Linked DNA regions of Oreochromis niloticus. The protein of the gene in region 2 interacts with the protein of the main gene of each other region in a biochemical or structural test. Links are inferred from orthologs where the notes say so. Each region holds a gene or a part of one and is shown on either strand. Other genes may lie near its edges.

What was found.
Region 1: the proteins of ppp2cab (region 2) and rbl2 form a complex in vitro, tested with the Homo sapiens proteins (2 studies listed by BioGRID and IntAct, with this or other methods). The link is inferred for Oreochromis niloticus from reciprocal best matches to the Homo sapiens genes PPP2CA and RBL2.

The regions. Positions count from the first base shown.
Region 1 is NC_031972.2:1,776,572-1,784,326, reverse strand, and holds the start of rbl2 (retinoblastoma-like protein 2), read right to left. Parts: upstream 3,105-7,755; 5' UTR 2,844-3,104; coding exon 2,706-2,843; intron 1,470-2,705; coding exon 1,339-1,469; intron 690-1,338; coding exon 489-689; intron 355-488; coding exon 290-354; intron 1-289. UniProt on the Homo sapiens protein: Key regulator of entry into cell division. Directly involved in heterochromatin formation by maintaining overall chromatin structure and, in particular, that of constitutive heterochromatin by stabilizing histone methylation.
Region 2 is NC_031975.2:22,852,733-22,860,509, forward strand, and holds the start of ppp2cab (serine/threonine-protein phosphatase 2A catalytic subunit alpha isoform), read right to left. Parts: upstream 3,012-7,777; 5' UTR 2,848-3,011; coding exon 2,746-2,847; intron 1-2,745. UniProt on the Homo sapiens protein: Catalytic subunit of protein phosphatase 2A (PP2A), a serine/threonine phosphatase involved in the regulation of a wide variety of enzymes, signal transduction pathways, and cellular events.

The sequences.
Region 1 (7,755 bases), on a different chromosome or scaffold from region 2:
CCAGCTGAGTGACTGCTGGGATGCAGCAGTGCACTCAAAGCTGCAGAAGAAGAAGAGATTGAAGCTTCACAGTCCTGATTATTTGTTATCCCATTTCTGCAGCTCCCAATCCCAACCCGACCCGACAGTAACACAGAGAAACACCGCACACGTGAGCGAGCACTTGGCGACAGTGGGAGGGAAACACTATTCCCACTGACGAAACCTCCAGCTGTCTGTGACCAGCTGTTGTTTGCACCGGGGGGCGCTGGACGGACTTCTCTGACATCAGTAAACAGGAAGTGCTTACCTTTGGCGTGGACAAACAGCACCCAGCAGAAGTTGAAGACCTCGGTCACGGTGCACGGGTGGCGTCTGCAAAGCAAAGTGCGCACATTGGTTAGCGGACGCCGCAGTCCCGCCGCCGCCCGGCGACCACACCAACAAACACCAAAGAATTGAATACTGAGCAGTTAGTATGAAGGTGAGGTGAAAGGTCACAGTCCCACCTCTGCTTGCGGCTGCGGTGCACTCGCGGCGGCTCCTCTGACGGCGCCCTGAAGATGGATTTGAAGATGGGGACATACTTCTTGAAGATGACGGCGGACACAATGAAGTTCCTCTCGAGCTTGTCGGTGCTCTGACGGAAGTCCGGCGGCAGGTCGGCCATGTCCTGCCACTTCTTCATCTTACTGAAGAATTCGATGAGGCTGAGGAGGAGCAGAGGGCGGGGATATGAGAAGCACGCCGAACCACGAAGACGGCGTATTATAAACCTCGTGGTTGCCTCTAAACCATTCACAGAGCGCACGTCTGACAGGGTCTATCATTTATTTATTTATATTCTTATTTTGTGTTTTTGTTTTTAGATGATATGCTTTGGGAAATAAAATCAGCCACGTTTATGTGAATCTGCTTGATTACTGATGCAGGTGCAGAGCAGATAACGTGACAGTGTCACAAATATCTGAACATAAATCTCATTGTTTGTTTACAGCTTCATGTTTTGATCACACAATTAAAAACCTTTTTCAATTTTAATTTTTATTATTGTGATTATTTCCATTTTATTCTATTTTTATTTATTCATCATTTTTAATATTTTGTAACTGATATTATTTTATATATTTAGTTTTCCTGCTCATTTCCAGCTGTTTGTGTGTCTCAGTGGTTCTCGTGTTCCCTCGTGTTCATAGTCTTTTGTCTATTTCCTGTTTTATTTTGAAGGTCTGCCTCTGTTACTGTGCCTGCTGGCCCCGCCCTGATTCTCTTCACCTGGGTTACCTGCCTGGCTGTGTGTCGTTATGTCTTCAGTGATTGTGTTTCTGTGGGTGTGAAGGTGGGGAGGGGCACACCGACCTCATCTCGGAGCAGCGCAGGATTCGGGTCAGAGAGACGTAGTTCCCCTCGGCCGTGCCTTTCCCCACCGTGGGCACCGACGACCTGCAGGCCACGTAGAGGGCACACGCCAACCAGTGCAGCTCGCTGCCCTGCGACAGGAAACGAGACGACAGGAAGCTTTGCAGACGTTACTGAATAAATATCATTTTTATTTAAAAGATTAGACGTGCGCAGAAATGCAGACGAGGCTGCGGGACGAAGGAAGCATCGAGGGACGGACAGCACTCTCGTCTCCTTCCCTTTCTGGGTCACAAAATAAACTTTTAACATATTTTCAGGCGAGAATGTAGCTGTGTAAACTTCAGATATCTGCTTGGTTTATCAAGATATCACATATTTGCAAAAGTGCTCCAACGTTTTCGGAGACGTCTGTTACCCACCCGCTTGATAGCAAGCCGGGGGTTCAATGGTCACTCGAGCCAGCGAGAGCAGCGGACTCCCGGCTTCATCGTTTTCAGACCCCCGCTGTCTTTCGTGACTCAGGTTAAACGTAATATATAAGTCACTTAGACAACCTAAAAATGTAATTGTTTGGCTTTTTTCAGTGTTTTATTTGTTTGTGAGTAAATCGGTTTGGCTGAGATTAAAGTTATTAGATTAGATTAAATAAAACTTTATTAATCCCTCGGGTGGGTTCCTCTGGGGTTTTCACACAGCTGAATAAACGTCAAACAGAAAACTGATTAAACAGAAGTGTGAGACGGTTGAGAGTTTGCTCCAGTGTCCTGTTATATTTTAGATAGCAAGGAGCAGACGGCCGAGTTTATTAAACTCCACCGAGACAGCGGTGACGCAGATCTGAAGGCCAGACCGTCCCATTTCACAGCCGCTCACTTCCGGCCTTCTTGGTCTTTGAAGGACCCGGCCCACGTAGACCGCGAAGGCCGGGTCCTCTGAAGGATGGACCCAGCCTTCGCTTGAGGGGCGTTCCTGGGTATTTAATGCTCACATTCAGTGTACTTAGAGCCATCACTGAAGTAAAATTCACCGTCATACTGCTCAGATCCAAGTACACACAGTACTTAAAGTACTCGTTATGCTGATATTAGTGTAGCACAGTTCTTTATTATTACTGTGTTTAACACGTCGGGCTGCTGGGCGGAGCAACATAAACACCACCTCCACCTGATGGAGGAGGAAACGCCATGCAGGGCACACGGTAAAGTACTCAAGTAAAAGTATTCAGATACTTGTTGCTGGTAGAATATGACAGCGCTACAGTTAAAGGGGCATCCCCCCGCCCCCTGCGGACACGCCCCTGCCCGTGGACACCGAGACCCGTCAGAAACACGTCACAGAGCCACCTGTCCAGGTGAGCGTGCTACCTCCAGGGTGAAGTTCCTGCTGATGTTCTCGTAGCTCCTCCACGCCTCCCCGCTCGCCTCCTCGTCCATGTTCAGCGCCCTGCAGAGCTCCTCGAACCCGCGGCGCGCTCTCTGCGCGGTTTCGTCCTCGTCGCTCATTTTCACCGCACTGACCGGACAAAGCGCGATCCCGCCGGGCACAGGGGGCCTCCCGCGGCGCGCGGACACGCTGTTCACGGGGCTGATGTCCTGAATAACGGCGTTATTACCGAGCACCGGGGCTCCCGGACTGCGAGGCCATTTAAAAGTCCTCTGACTGACAGATAGGCACGCATGCGCGGCTGCCAGCCACAGCGTCAAACGTCACGTCTCTGCGTACGTGCTTTAACGAATAGCACAAACAACGTAGCGGGGCCCCGCCCACTAAAGGTGCGTAGCTGAGTGTGAGTGGGTGGGCCGACCTGTCAATCACACTGCTGCTGCTTCCGGTTGTGTTGTGTTTTTCGCTGGTGCGGCGCTCCGCTCGCCCGGAAGTCCATCTGAAAAACATTAAATTATAACTTTTGTAAAATCTGTGAGCGGTAAAAGGCGGGAAACACAAACCTGTACAAACGTTTAAATGAGCGCTCATCGTTCGGCTGTCATTAATCTGCTGCACAGGTCCTCACAGTGCAGTGAAAGCAAAGGCTGAAACCGCACTTGGACTTCAGTCCGTTATCCTGTTGAAGGAAACAGGACACAGACTCAGCTGTCAGAACAACCCCAGGCAAATAAAGCTGTTCAAGCATGACATTAGTGTGTGAAAGAAAAGCATCCATTATATCTCGGGAGAGTTTGATAGAGTAATACTGCGGTTACCACAGAACTGTGACTGTGGGCAGTAGATTAGACTCTGAGTACAGCTGCGCTGTAGCACTGTACACACGTCTGCTCAACCCTTCAGATCCTTTAATAATCAGCTGAGGCCTGAACCACACTTCCTGACTGTGGGTGTGTGGAAATCAGTGCAGATGACAGGGATCATACACTAAACAGCAGATAGGAGCCCAAACGAGTCATAAAATAAAGATGTAAGGCTACATTCACACTGCAGGCGAAAGCGCATCAAATCCGATTTTTTTTTGACCCTATGCGACCCATATCCGATCATGGTATGACAGTGTGAGCGGCACAAATCCGATATTTTCAAATCCGATCTGGGTCACTTTCGTATGTGGTACTGAATCCGATACATATCCGATGTTTTAGAAAGTGACTGCTGTTTGAACGGACGTCGCATTAAATCCGTCTTTTACGTCACTGACACAAGACAGACGCCAATTATCAGCGCCGGAGAAGACATCGCGAACGCTTCCTGGCCATCCAGTGTAGATGTCAGTGAAACTGTTGGGAAGACAACGTGAACATTTTATTTGTACTGTATAATCTGCAGATTCTGACAGAAATCTGCGACTATCCTTTGAAGCACCGCTCCTCTAAAACAGCAATAAGGATAATTATTAGGTTATTTACATTATTATGTAAATAACAAAATAACTTAAAGCAAAAATTGGGAAACGTGAAGTCCGAAGTCTTTATTTTAAGGGCCATCAGTCAAACAATACTGTTTGGTTTGGGTCTAAACAGAGCGAGTTGTGTGTGACGTCTTCTTTTGCGCATGCGGGCCACTTTGAGCGTTCACACTGGAGAGCGTTTGCTGTCGCTTTTTATTTGTAGTGTGAACAAGCAGACAAAAAAATCGGATTTGATAAGAAAATCGGAATTGAGCATTAAGACCTGCAGTGTGAATGTAGCCTTAGTCAGAGTTATTGCACTTTGTTTGTGTGTTGAATTAAATCTCATATTCTATAAATTGATTGTAGTTTTGTTTACAGTCTGGAGATGACTCTGCACCTTTAAATATTATCACTAATAAGGTTCAAATTAATCTTAATGAACTTACACTGTGACTCTGTGACTTTGTCTCACTGTCCTCACACAGAAATATCATTACCATAAAGTTATTTTACCGTTAATTTGAACGCAGAATTTACACACACATTTCTTCACCTCATGCCGGCTTTTCTGTCGCTCGATGCAATCAAGTATTAATTATTGTAAGGTTGTAAATGTTTCATCTTCTTCTTGCAGCGGCTCCCTTCAATAAACTGTTAAAGACAGAATAATAGAACAATAAACTCACGTAGAGACTGAAGTCATCACTTTAGGAATGTGTCAGAAACTCAGACTCATTATAATGATCTCACCACCTTTTTTTAAAGCTACTGAAAACTTGCAGTGCTGATATAAACTCCATCTTGAGATGAATCTCTGTCGATTCTCGTTGCTTTCTCTCTGCCCAGCTCAGTGGCTCACATCGAGAAACATGGATCTCGTCTGGAGCAACAACCTTGCAGGTCTCTATCACTCGTTATTTAACCTCGTCTCCTTCCTGTTCAGCCAGGCTGCACAGACGGAGGTTCCTTCTTCTGTTGTAACGCTCCATCCCAGTCACATGTTGGTGTTCTTTCGTTAAGACTTCTGAAGTCTCCTTCAGATCCTTTCACATTTGTGTGTATCTGGTACAGTCTTTGATAACTCTTCCTTCTTTAAAGTAACAGGAAGTAATTTTCTTGTGTTTTTACGTAGCGTTGTTTGGTTTTTAAGGTCTGTGGTATGCTAACGCCGGCAGCTTCATCGCCTTATTTCCGTCGATCTTCATAACTGTAATTTTTCCAACTGTCCTTTAAAGTTCATCTTTATACATCAGGCTGCGGTGTGCTGTTGGATCCTGAATGAATTGATTTGTGTGTTTTTAAGGTGAGAAAATCATTTAAAGGTGCTACCCAAACATTCCTCTGACTTTCTCGTCCCCATCTCACCTGAACCAGACCTGAAAGCAGTGACTGAGAACAGAATCTCATCACTTAGGTCAGAGGTCAGCTGAGCATGAGACTCATTGTCCAGTCAATCTTCAGAGGACCCGCCCCCTGCTGGACAGCATAGGGACTGCAGGTCGTCGAGGTCAGTGACCTAACTCCTTTAATACACAGCTGCCCACCTCCAGAAAGACCTCGGCTTTCACAGGATGGAGACAAGCCAACCACACACAGCGCCACCTGCAGGGCCTTTTAAGAATTTTCTATCTCTTTGCATTGCTGCTGATCATACTGTTAGATATGTTTCATATGCTGTGTAGAGCTGGGCGATAAAACGATAACGATATGTATTGCGAAATAACTTTTTCTCAATAGAAAAATTAAACTATTGCGATAGGCTTCATCTCTCTTGTCCTCTTAAAAAAAAGAAAAAAAAGAACAGCCAATCCAAATTAAGTAGCGCAAAGCCAAACCAATCACAGCCGCAGCGTCACGTCACGTGACTTGTTACGTACAGCACAAGCGCCAAGGTGCACATGTGTATTTGTTTTTGCAGCCGTGCAGCCCGGGTAATGAAGGAAATGAGTTTGCCGACTAGAGAAAAATCAACCGAGAGCGTGAGCGAAGGTTACCGAAGAAAAAACAGATGATGGTTCCAATGCAGGAGAGCTTGTCGAACGGAAGGGCCACAGAAGTTCCGTAGTGTGAAGGTATTTTGGCTATTTCAAGTCTGACAAAAAACAGAGTAGCGCGCACTGTAAATTGTGCCGAAAGCAAGTCTGGATATACAATAAAGCGGTGCATGCTCAATCTCTGACTGAAAGCGCTAATTCGTCATTCGGCTTTTGTCAGACTAAAGTAACTGTTAAAACTGTTTGAAAAGCTAAGCTATACAACAAGGAGAGATTGAGAATTTCCTTTTAGTTCTCAGTTTATTTGATATTGACAAAAGTTAGTCAATTTTGTCTGTTCTTCTGTAAAACAAACTAAGATTTATTTTTAGAATTAATATTTTGTTTCTAAGTGGAATTGACAATTTAGTCTGTTTTGTTTTTTCTGTTTTGAAACTTAAACGCTTTAGCGGCTGCCTTTTGTGTAGTTTGCAATATTTGCCTTTATTTATCTGAAACTGAAGTCTCATGTTCCTTAAGTACATCTACCCTGTTGAACTTATTATGGGAAATAAATATTTTAATTAAAACAAGCTGCTGATTATTTCACATTTTACTTGTGAGCAATGGCACATTTAAATCTTACAAATATAGTTATTTGGCTTATATCGTGATATATATCGTTATCGCCTGAAATGAAAAAACATATCGTGATATGAAAAAATCTTATATCGCCCAGCTCTAATGCTGTGGTATAAAATGTGACACAAGGAGGCCGTTTAATGATTTTCTAATGAAGTTTCACTCATCAACTGCCTGCCTGATTAAAATAATCATCAGATTAATCAAAGATTCAAGTAATTTTATTTTTGTTATACATCATCATGAAGAAAGCTGTGTAAAGTCTGTCCTTCATCCTGAGCTCAGCTTCAACTTAAAGGACGCTGCTCCTCCTCTTCCAGCTGAGGTGTTGACAGCGCTCATCCTTGCTCACCTGCAGGAGGCGCCGCTTCCAGCAGAGACGCAGACAGCTGCAGCTTTAGAGGGGGGAGGCAGTCTGCGAGCTCCCAGCATGCCTCAGGTGGAGCGGCTGCTGAAGGGAGGCTCGGCCTGCAGGGGGTGCTCGCCTGGAGGGAGAGACCGTACAAACGCCCTGAGACGGCCCGAGGGAGAAAAGCTGTTTGCAGCTCATGCTCCACAAATATCATCTGTTTCATTTCAGTGGAATTAAATAAATAATAAATAATAAAATAAGGACTTTTCTCCAAATGCTGAGAAAGAAATGTTTGAATAATATTGGAAAATGACTTTATTATATTTCATAAGAAACGGTGATGAGATGTCAGAAACATCATCAGCAATAATGCTAATGATGATAGTGATGATGCTGCTGCTGCTGCTGCTGATGATAGTGATGATGATGGTGATGCTACTGCTGCTGCTGCTGCTGACGATGATGATGATGATGATGATAGTGATGATGTTGATGCTGATGATGGTGATGCTGCTGATGCTGATGATGATAATGATGATGATGATGATAGTGATGATGATGATGATGATGATGATGATGATGATACTGATGATGATAGTGATGATGAT
Region 2 (7,777 bases):
AGCTAAGCACTGACCACCACCACCACCTTCCCTCTAAGCCCTATGGAAAGGATCCAGTCCCTTTTTGGGATCCTGATACACAGTGTAATGAGCATTTAAAACTACTGGGACTCAAATGGAAACAAATGTTGGGATTAACGTTCCACTTGAGAATACCAGACCTTTAAACTTCAGCACACAGAACTCCAAACATGGTAGAGGGCCCAGTCTCTGTATCCTTTTAAAAGTCAAGGAGGGGGTGCAGAGCTGCAGCATAAAAAGAAAAACAGACTCTGAAAACTGTCCAAAAAGAAAAGAAAAGAAAAAGCCTCTTCTATCAGCGTAAAGCCTAACAGCAAATTTATCATATTCACTATACACGCTGTCAAGTTATGGTGTCAGTCACTTGACTTCTGACACATAAATCTAACAATCAGAGGACAGGGTGTCAATTCTCCAGCAGGGGGAAGCCTAAAAATGGACCATGACCCAAGGCAGCAACAATATATAGCACGCTTTGGGCAAGAGAGCTTTCTAGAAAACAGAAATCCTAGACAGATCAAGATCAGGATTAAAAAGCACAAAAAACAAATCCAAAAAACAAACAAAAAGAGTATTAATCAAAACAATCTGAGGAGAGAAAAGTGGTAAAATGTTTCAGAGTAAATGCTCCTTTACAACCAGACATCCAGAGCCGGAAATCAGCACAGAGCAGAGAGATTGGGGTTAAGCTCAGCTCAGACCACAAAATCAAATGGCCAGTTATCAACCAAAGCAGAAGCATATGGGCATAATGACACTCAAAACAAGTTAATTAAGGTTCCTTTAAAAAAAATTATAATAGTAAAGGAAGGAACAACCTTACACCAGCTTAAAGGTCAACTTCACACTGTGATGATAACATCAAAGGTCAACCAACGTCTGAGGGAAATTACCATTAAATCACTTTTCAGCTATTTTTAACTATCTCTATGTTTCCAAAGCTGAATGATGCAACGCAGTGATGCAAAAAATAGAGCAAAGGACTAAGGAACTCAAATGTGAAAACTACCATTCACGCCACACATCACTTTCATCCATTAGGTCATGTTAAAGTTTGAAAACTGCCCACATTATTGCCTCGAACAAGTCATCCTCTCCATTTATAGACATGAGTAAACAGAAGGTAGATAAAGGACTCAGTTTCCTGACTACCTGTGAGAGCTGCTGAGGGGGAAAAGTATCACACACACAATCAGCTGGCAGTTTATTAGGCACATCTAATTAAAAACTAACAAGATTATGACTTTGATGGTACAATGTTTGTGGAAATTGTCTTGATTGAAACTTGCAGTGTTTTAGGAGTTGCCGAATTGTTCCAAATTACAGGAGGTGTTTCTCTCATTTAGACTAGCCCTCATTCAGGGTGTTTCTTGGCTCAAAATTAAAGGATTTTTATTGTCATTCCAACATTTGGCCTGGCCTGGCCTGTATTTATATAGCGCCTTTCTGGTCCCTAAGGACCCCAAAGCGCTTTACATATCCAGTTATTCACCCATTCACGCACACATTCACACACTGGTGATGGCAAGCTACGTTGTAGCCACAGCCACCCTGGGGCACACTGACAGAGGCGAGGCTGCCGGACACTGGCGCGTGAAACAAAGTTTTGCACTCAGCAAACAAGAATGAGAACACCCAAGAACAATGCATACAGAAACAAGGAGCAGGAAATACATTTGCAGTGTAATTTAGCATAAATAAGAAGTGGTGGATAGTGCAGAGCCCAGTGGTTTCTCATGTTTGTTATCTTTGGCTGGGAGCAGCAGAGACTATAAAGCACATTTAGGGCACCGATGGGGCTTTGGCGACATAAACAAACTTTATTCATCCACATATAGTGAAGGTAAACAGACTGTGTTACCTTAATTAACAAGTCTGAGCAATTTGCTATTTTTTTTGTCATTGGATAACCAAAAATGTATTTTAAGCTCAACTAAACTAAGCCCCACTTAGAAATAACTTTTTATAATTACACCCCTGGTTATTTTCCTTTAATGGAGGGCCAAATTTCTTAAGTAGATGCCAACTTTCTTTCTTTTTTTTATTGCAGGAAAGAAAAACCTCCTCGTTGACATAAACTGACTGGCTGGATTTATTACTGGATTGATTGCCTTGATCACCATACCCTGTGCCAAGAGCTATACAGTAAGCTTTTCCTCACATTTTCATTGCTCGAAGTGGCTGCACCTAAACTGGATACAATCAACCTTAATAGGCTAAATAAAAGGACCCCAAAAGCCTGACTTTCTCACAAGAAATCAACTTTATCTCTTTCCATTTTGATGCCAGCTGGCCACATTTTTCCTTTACTGTTTTCTAACAGCTTCCATACATAAATATAAAGGGAAAAAATGAGGCAGAGCACTTCCACTCAGTAGCACGGCTAAAAGAGATGCTGCAGTCACTGTCAGTGTGAATGAGCAGGGCTGTAAATGTGGTATGTGACTTGAATTCAAAGCTTATGGGTCATCCTGCCTGCCCGATAAAGTACCAAGAAGCCCGAAAACTACCACATGTAATTTCTTATTTAGCGACATATCACGGTGTAAAGCTGTTTAAACAGAACAGAAGTCTGGGGCAACTCGTAATGATTGTCAAATCCATGTACAACGCAGTGAAATATACACTATAGACGCCATTTTAAGAATGTCTGGAAGGCGGCGGTGAGGAGGGAGAAGACGTTAGCAATAAGTTAAGGAAGGGAATTAAAAAATAAAATCTTACCTTTTCACATAGTGTTTTTACTTGTCCCTCGGACAGCTGCTTGCATTCATTGAGCTGCTCGATCCACTGATCCAGTTCTTTCGTAAACGCCTTTTCGTCCATTTCTGTGTGTTTTCGGGTTTGCTGCAGTTTGTCACGTTAGCTAATTCGGGTTAGGACTCTCCCAGAGGTTACCGTCTTTCGAGGGCTTACAAAACGGCCACAGCAGAAGCTAATCACTCTCTTACTAACAGGCGCATGTATCGCTAACTGCCAGATCACTGTGATGATTTGACTGAATTGAAACTGGGAGAGGGAGGGAGAGGTGACAGTTAAGGATCCACCCTTGTCGAGCCGCTGGCGAGCAAATAACAAACTTCCGGTTGCGCTTCGAAATAAAAGCTTCTTGGCGGACAAGTTCTGAAATACACCCTTACCTAAAAGAAAAAAATAATAATTATAACTTGCTAGGGTTAAACATAACAACAATGCAACTAGAAAAAAAAACTAGCATCTGGCAAATAATTTAAAAAAAAAAAGAGTTACGTTTTAATTGACCACCTTTTACAACTTTTCTACGTATGTAAATTTTAATTTTATGTAAACAGCTTTTGTAAACATGGTCTGAATAAACTAATTTCTGCCACACTCTGAAACTTACACAGTGACAAAGGTTGGTAAATATACATAAAATATTTCCCAGAATGTGGTCACGGTAGATGTTTGAGGATATATTATTTTTATTATGATGACGATGATGATTGTTATTATTATATGAAGATTGCGTCAGACTGTATATTGTTGAAAAATCTAATAATTTCCGGTCTAACACTGTGTGGTCTACCTTTACTAAAAACAGAGCGCCGCCCGACACAAATAGCAACCAGAGACCTATGACGGCTGCTCACTGATTGGTTCGCTGAGCTGCTTCCTATGCAGTTTCATTGGCTCGCCGTTTATTGGGGAAGTTACCGACACAAACTAAAGAGAATACGTCATGGCTCTGTGAAAGCATGCCGTGCATTTCTCGGCGTGGCTATGATGTCACTGTTTTATCTCCTTGTTGTCAAGGCCAAAAAAGTAAACAAAACAAAAGACAGCGTTGTCTTTTAACCACGCTGTCTTTAACAGGCTTACCTTCCACATCGTATCCATTCCTCTCAGTTTTCGGTTATGAATAAAGGTCGCTAGGCCCATTTAAAGGAGTTTATTGTTTGTGTACGGTATCAGCAAAACTGCCAAGTGATCTCACTCAGACTCAGTCCTAAAGCCAGTGACTTTCTAACAAAGACAACGATTAAAGATTCATTGATAATACATCTGTTCGTCACACATATGCACTCATGCTTCATCACTGTAATAAACATAATCAGAGTTAATCTTTCACAAAAAGTTCTCTCTTCACAGAAACACCAAGTTCACCTTTAAATAAGACTATTTCCAAACGGCTCGTGTCCAAATAGTGAATTGTTTAGGAGGCACTTGATAAAAACTACAGTTCCCAGGAGAATTTCTACATTGCCTACGTTCTGGCATGTCCCTTCGATAGCTCAGTTGGTAGAGCGGAGGACTGTAGGTGTATGATAACAGGAATCCTTAGGTCGCTGGTTCAATTCCGGCTCGAAGGAGGTTTTTGGGTGCTTTGAGTACTCCGGGAGAGCAGAAAAGCGCTAAATAAGAATCAGTCCATTTACCATTTATTATATGTGAATTAATCAGCACGGTCAAGCCTCTTCTGTTCTTTGAAATTATGTAAAAGGACTCAGTGATTGAGAGTGAGAGCAACAACTCAAGAAATATTTCGAATTAGAAAAATGGGGGGCGGGAATAAGCTTTAATTGTGAACATTGATCATCCCATATCAAGCAGTTTATTAGAATGTGGCAACAACCTTTTTGGGATAAATTTGCTGACACTTTCAGCAATGACCCTGCTGTCGATTCACAAGAACCTCCTGTATATGTATGGGAAATGTATATCAAACTATATTCTTTAAAAAGTTACTACACACTGTAAGTTTCTGACTGTGGCTTTAACAGTTTCAATTCAGCATACAACGTGTTGTTCTTCTTTAACTCTAAATATAGACCTATTATATCATACTGTTATGTGAAGTCCAAAGCAGGTCTTCTCTTGTATTGTGCAAAAATATAAAATAATGGAGACTTTACTAAACCAGGTCCCAGTTAATCCCAGTCTCAATTAAACTGGTAACATAATAAATCATATTTATTTTAGCTGGGGGCTCTGTGTGGGGCAGTGATCCCACATCTTTTCCAATCACCCAGAACAATATTTGTCAGTTTGTCTTTATTTTATTGTGTCTTTATATATATACATATATATATCACCCCCTACCCTAACCCTAATCTAGATCGATCTCTAATCCCTAAACCTAACCAAGGAAGGAAAATGGCAGATTAGCCTGGGTAAAAGACCGAAAGTTGAGGTACACAACGATGTGTGCTGCTGGCAAAGTTTCTGGGCTGCCTTTCCTCATAACAGCCATCCCTCAAGAGTCTCTCCATCTAAAGCATTATCAGGGACTGTAACATCTATTAAAGAAAAAAAACTATCCAAACCTACTTGGCACTGTGTAAAAAAGTAATTGCCCCCTAAATATAATAACTAGTTGTGCCACCCTTGGCAGTAAGAACTCCAAACAAGTGTTTTCGATAATTGATGCTTTCACTTTGTCTTTTCACTCTTTCACTTTGTCTCTACACTGTTTCACTTTGTCTCTTGACTCTTTCACTTTGTCTCTTCACTGTTTCACTTTGTCTCTTGACTCTTTCACTTTGTCTCTTCACTGTTTCACTTTGTCTTTTCACTCTTTCACTTTGTCTTTTCACTCTTTCACTTTGTCTCTTCGCTCTTTTACTTTGTGGTGGAAGAACTTTGACCCTCTCTTCTTTGTGAAATTATTTTAATTCAGTCACATTGGAGATGTTCCCAGCATGAATGATCTGTTTAGGGTCATGTCAAAGTATCTCAGTTGGATTAAATTTGTTAAAGTTTGAATGGGCCAAACCCTCATTTTGTTTGGATTTTTTTTTTTTCACAGTTGGACTTGGATGGTGTGTTTTGGATCAATGTTCTGCTCCAAAACTCAAGTGTTCTTGAGCTTCAGAAAAGGAACTGATGGCCGGATATTTTCCATCAGGATTTTCTGTTAGACAGCAAAATTCATGGTTCAATCAATTACAGCAAGTTGTCCTGGTCCCGAATCAGCAAAACAGCCCCAGACCATCACACTACCACCAACATGTTTGACTGTTGTTACGATCTTTCTATGAAATGTTGTGTTAGTTTTACACCAGTTTCAACAGGATTCAAACCTTCCACAAAGTTCAACTTTTCATCATCAGTCCACAAGACATTTTCCCAAAAGTCTTTGGGATCATTAAGATTTTTTATTTTTTTTTGGCAAATGTAAGATGAGCCTTTGTGGGGTTTTTTTTTTTTTTTATTCCTGGGATGGTTCATCACTGTTCCAGGTTTTCTCCATTGGTTTTGTAACCCTTTTCAGACTGATAAATGTCAATGACTTTGTTTCTCAGTTGTTTCTTGAGATTGTGATATGATCTGTTGCTTTTTGAGATCTTTTAGCCTATTTCACTTCGTCAGACAGGTTCTATTTAAGTGATTCTTGATTCAACATGTCTGGCAGCAATCAGGCTTACGTATCACTAATGAAATTGACGTCAGCTTTCCAAAAAATGTGGTTAATCACAACTAATTCATGATTTAACAATGGATAGCTCTTCTCCATAATAAATGTAATCATCACTTAAACGCTGAATGTTGTTTTCTTTCCCTAAGATTAAAATTTGTTTGATGATCTGAAAAATTAATAAATGTTTGACAAATATGTAAAAACAAAAACAAAAACAAATGCTTTTTCAGAACACTGTGTATCAGATCCATCCATCTTCTTCTGCTTATCTATGGGTCACGTGTACCAGAGCCAAACACCAGGGTACACCCTGGACAAGCTGCCGCAGAGAACACTTATAATCACACTGTGGCCAATTTACAATCACCAACCCTGGAAGCATGTCTTTGGACTGTGGGGGGCAGCTCAGCTGGCCAGTGGATACAAATCCAGGTGTCTTGTGCTAACCATCAAAATGATCCCTTTCCAGTTTCGACCTACAGTAGCTGTCTGTTTTGATACTAAAACTGTTGCCTTAAAGGATTTTCAGGACACAGTCATTTACAATTCTGCCTTCAAACTACCACAAGCTCAAGGCAAGCAAGTGCAGTTTTATTGCTATTCCATTATTTACTACATCTGTTGTATTGCTGCTCTGACTTAACTGTATAGTCGAATTGCTTGTGTCAGCAGGAGGCCACCAATACTCGAACAGAGGCATGAGACTTGTGCCAGAGACGTGTCAAGACTGTTGTGAGCAGAGGCTGACAGAGGTCATAGGGGTTACATCTAAAAGAATAACCATATACCATCCAGGAAAGCCAGTACGTGTCAGTCTTGGTGTAGCTCTAGATTTTCAGCAGACTTATGAAAGCTTGACACGAGCATATCCAGGCCCATTCAAAGGCAAATGCAGCCTTTACAACAAACAGAGGCCACACACGAAACAATAACACAGATCAAAGGCTGTATCTGCTCTTCCAACACACTGGCACATGTTCAAGTATGTCACGGCAATTAACAATTATCCTATCTTAAATCGTGAAGCTTTGCTGCTGTCGCACAACCATCAATTACTTTTTGAAGGAAAAACTACTTCTCAATTTTCTGAGTACTCTTATAACAATCAGACATGACATCAAGAAACTAAATAGCTTCAGACAGTGTATATTAATCATGGGCATTCCAGCGATTCCAGCAATGATCTTAAGTCTTAATGTTCAGCATCAGTGAGGGGAATGTTATCTCCCTGAAACTGAAATGAAATCACCATCTATTATTGTTAAGCTCTATTTGAGAGAAAGAAATGCACCAATACATCTATTTTCCTCATACAGTAATCACACAGTCCTACAGAGGATGTAATGACGCATCTGTCCCTCTGTTTTTTTTTTTATT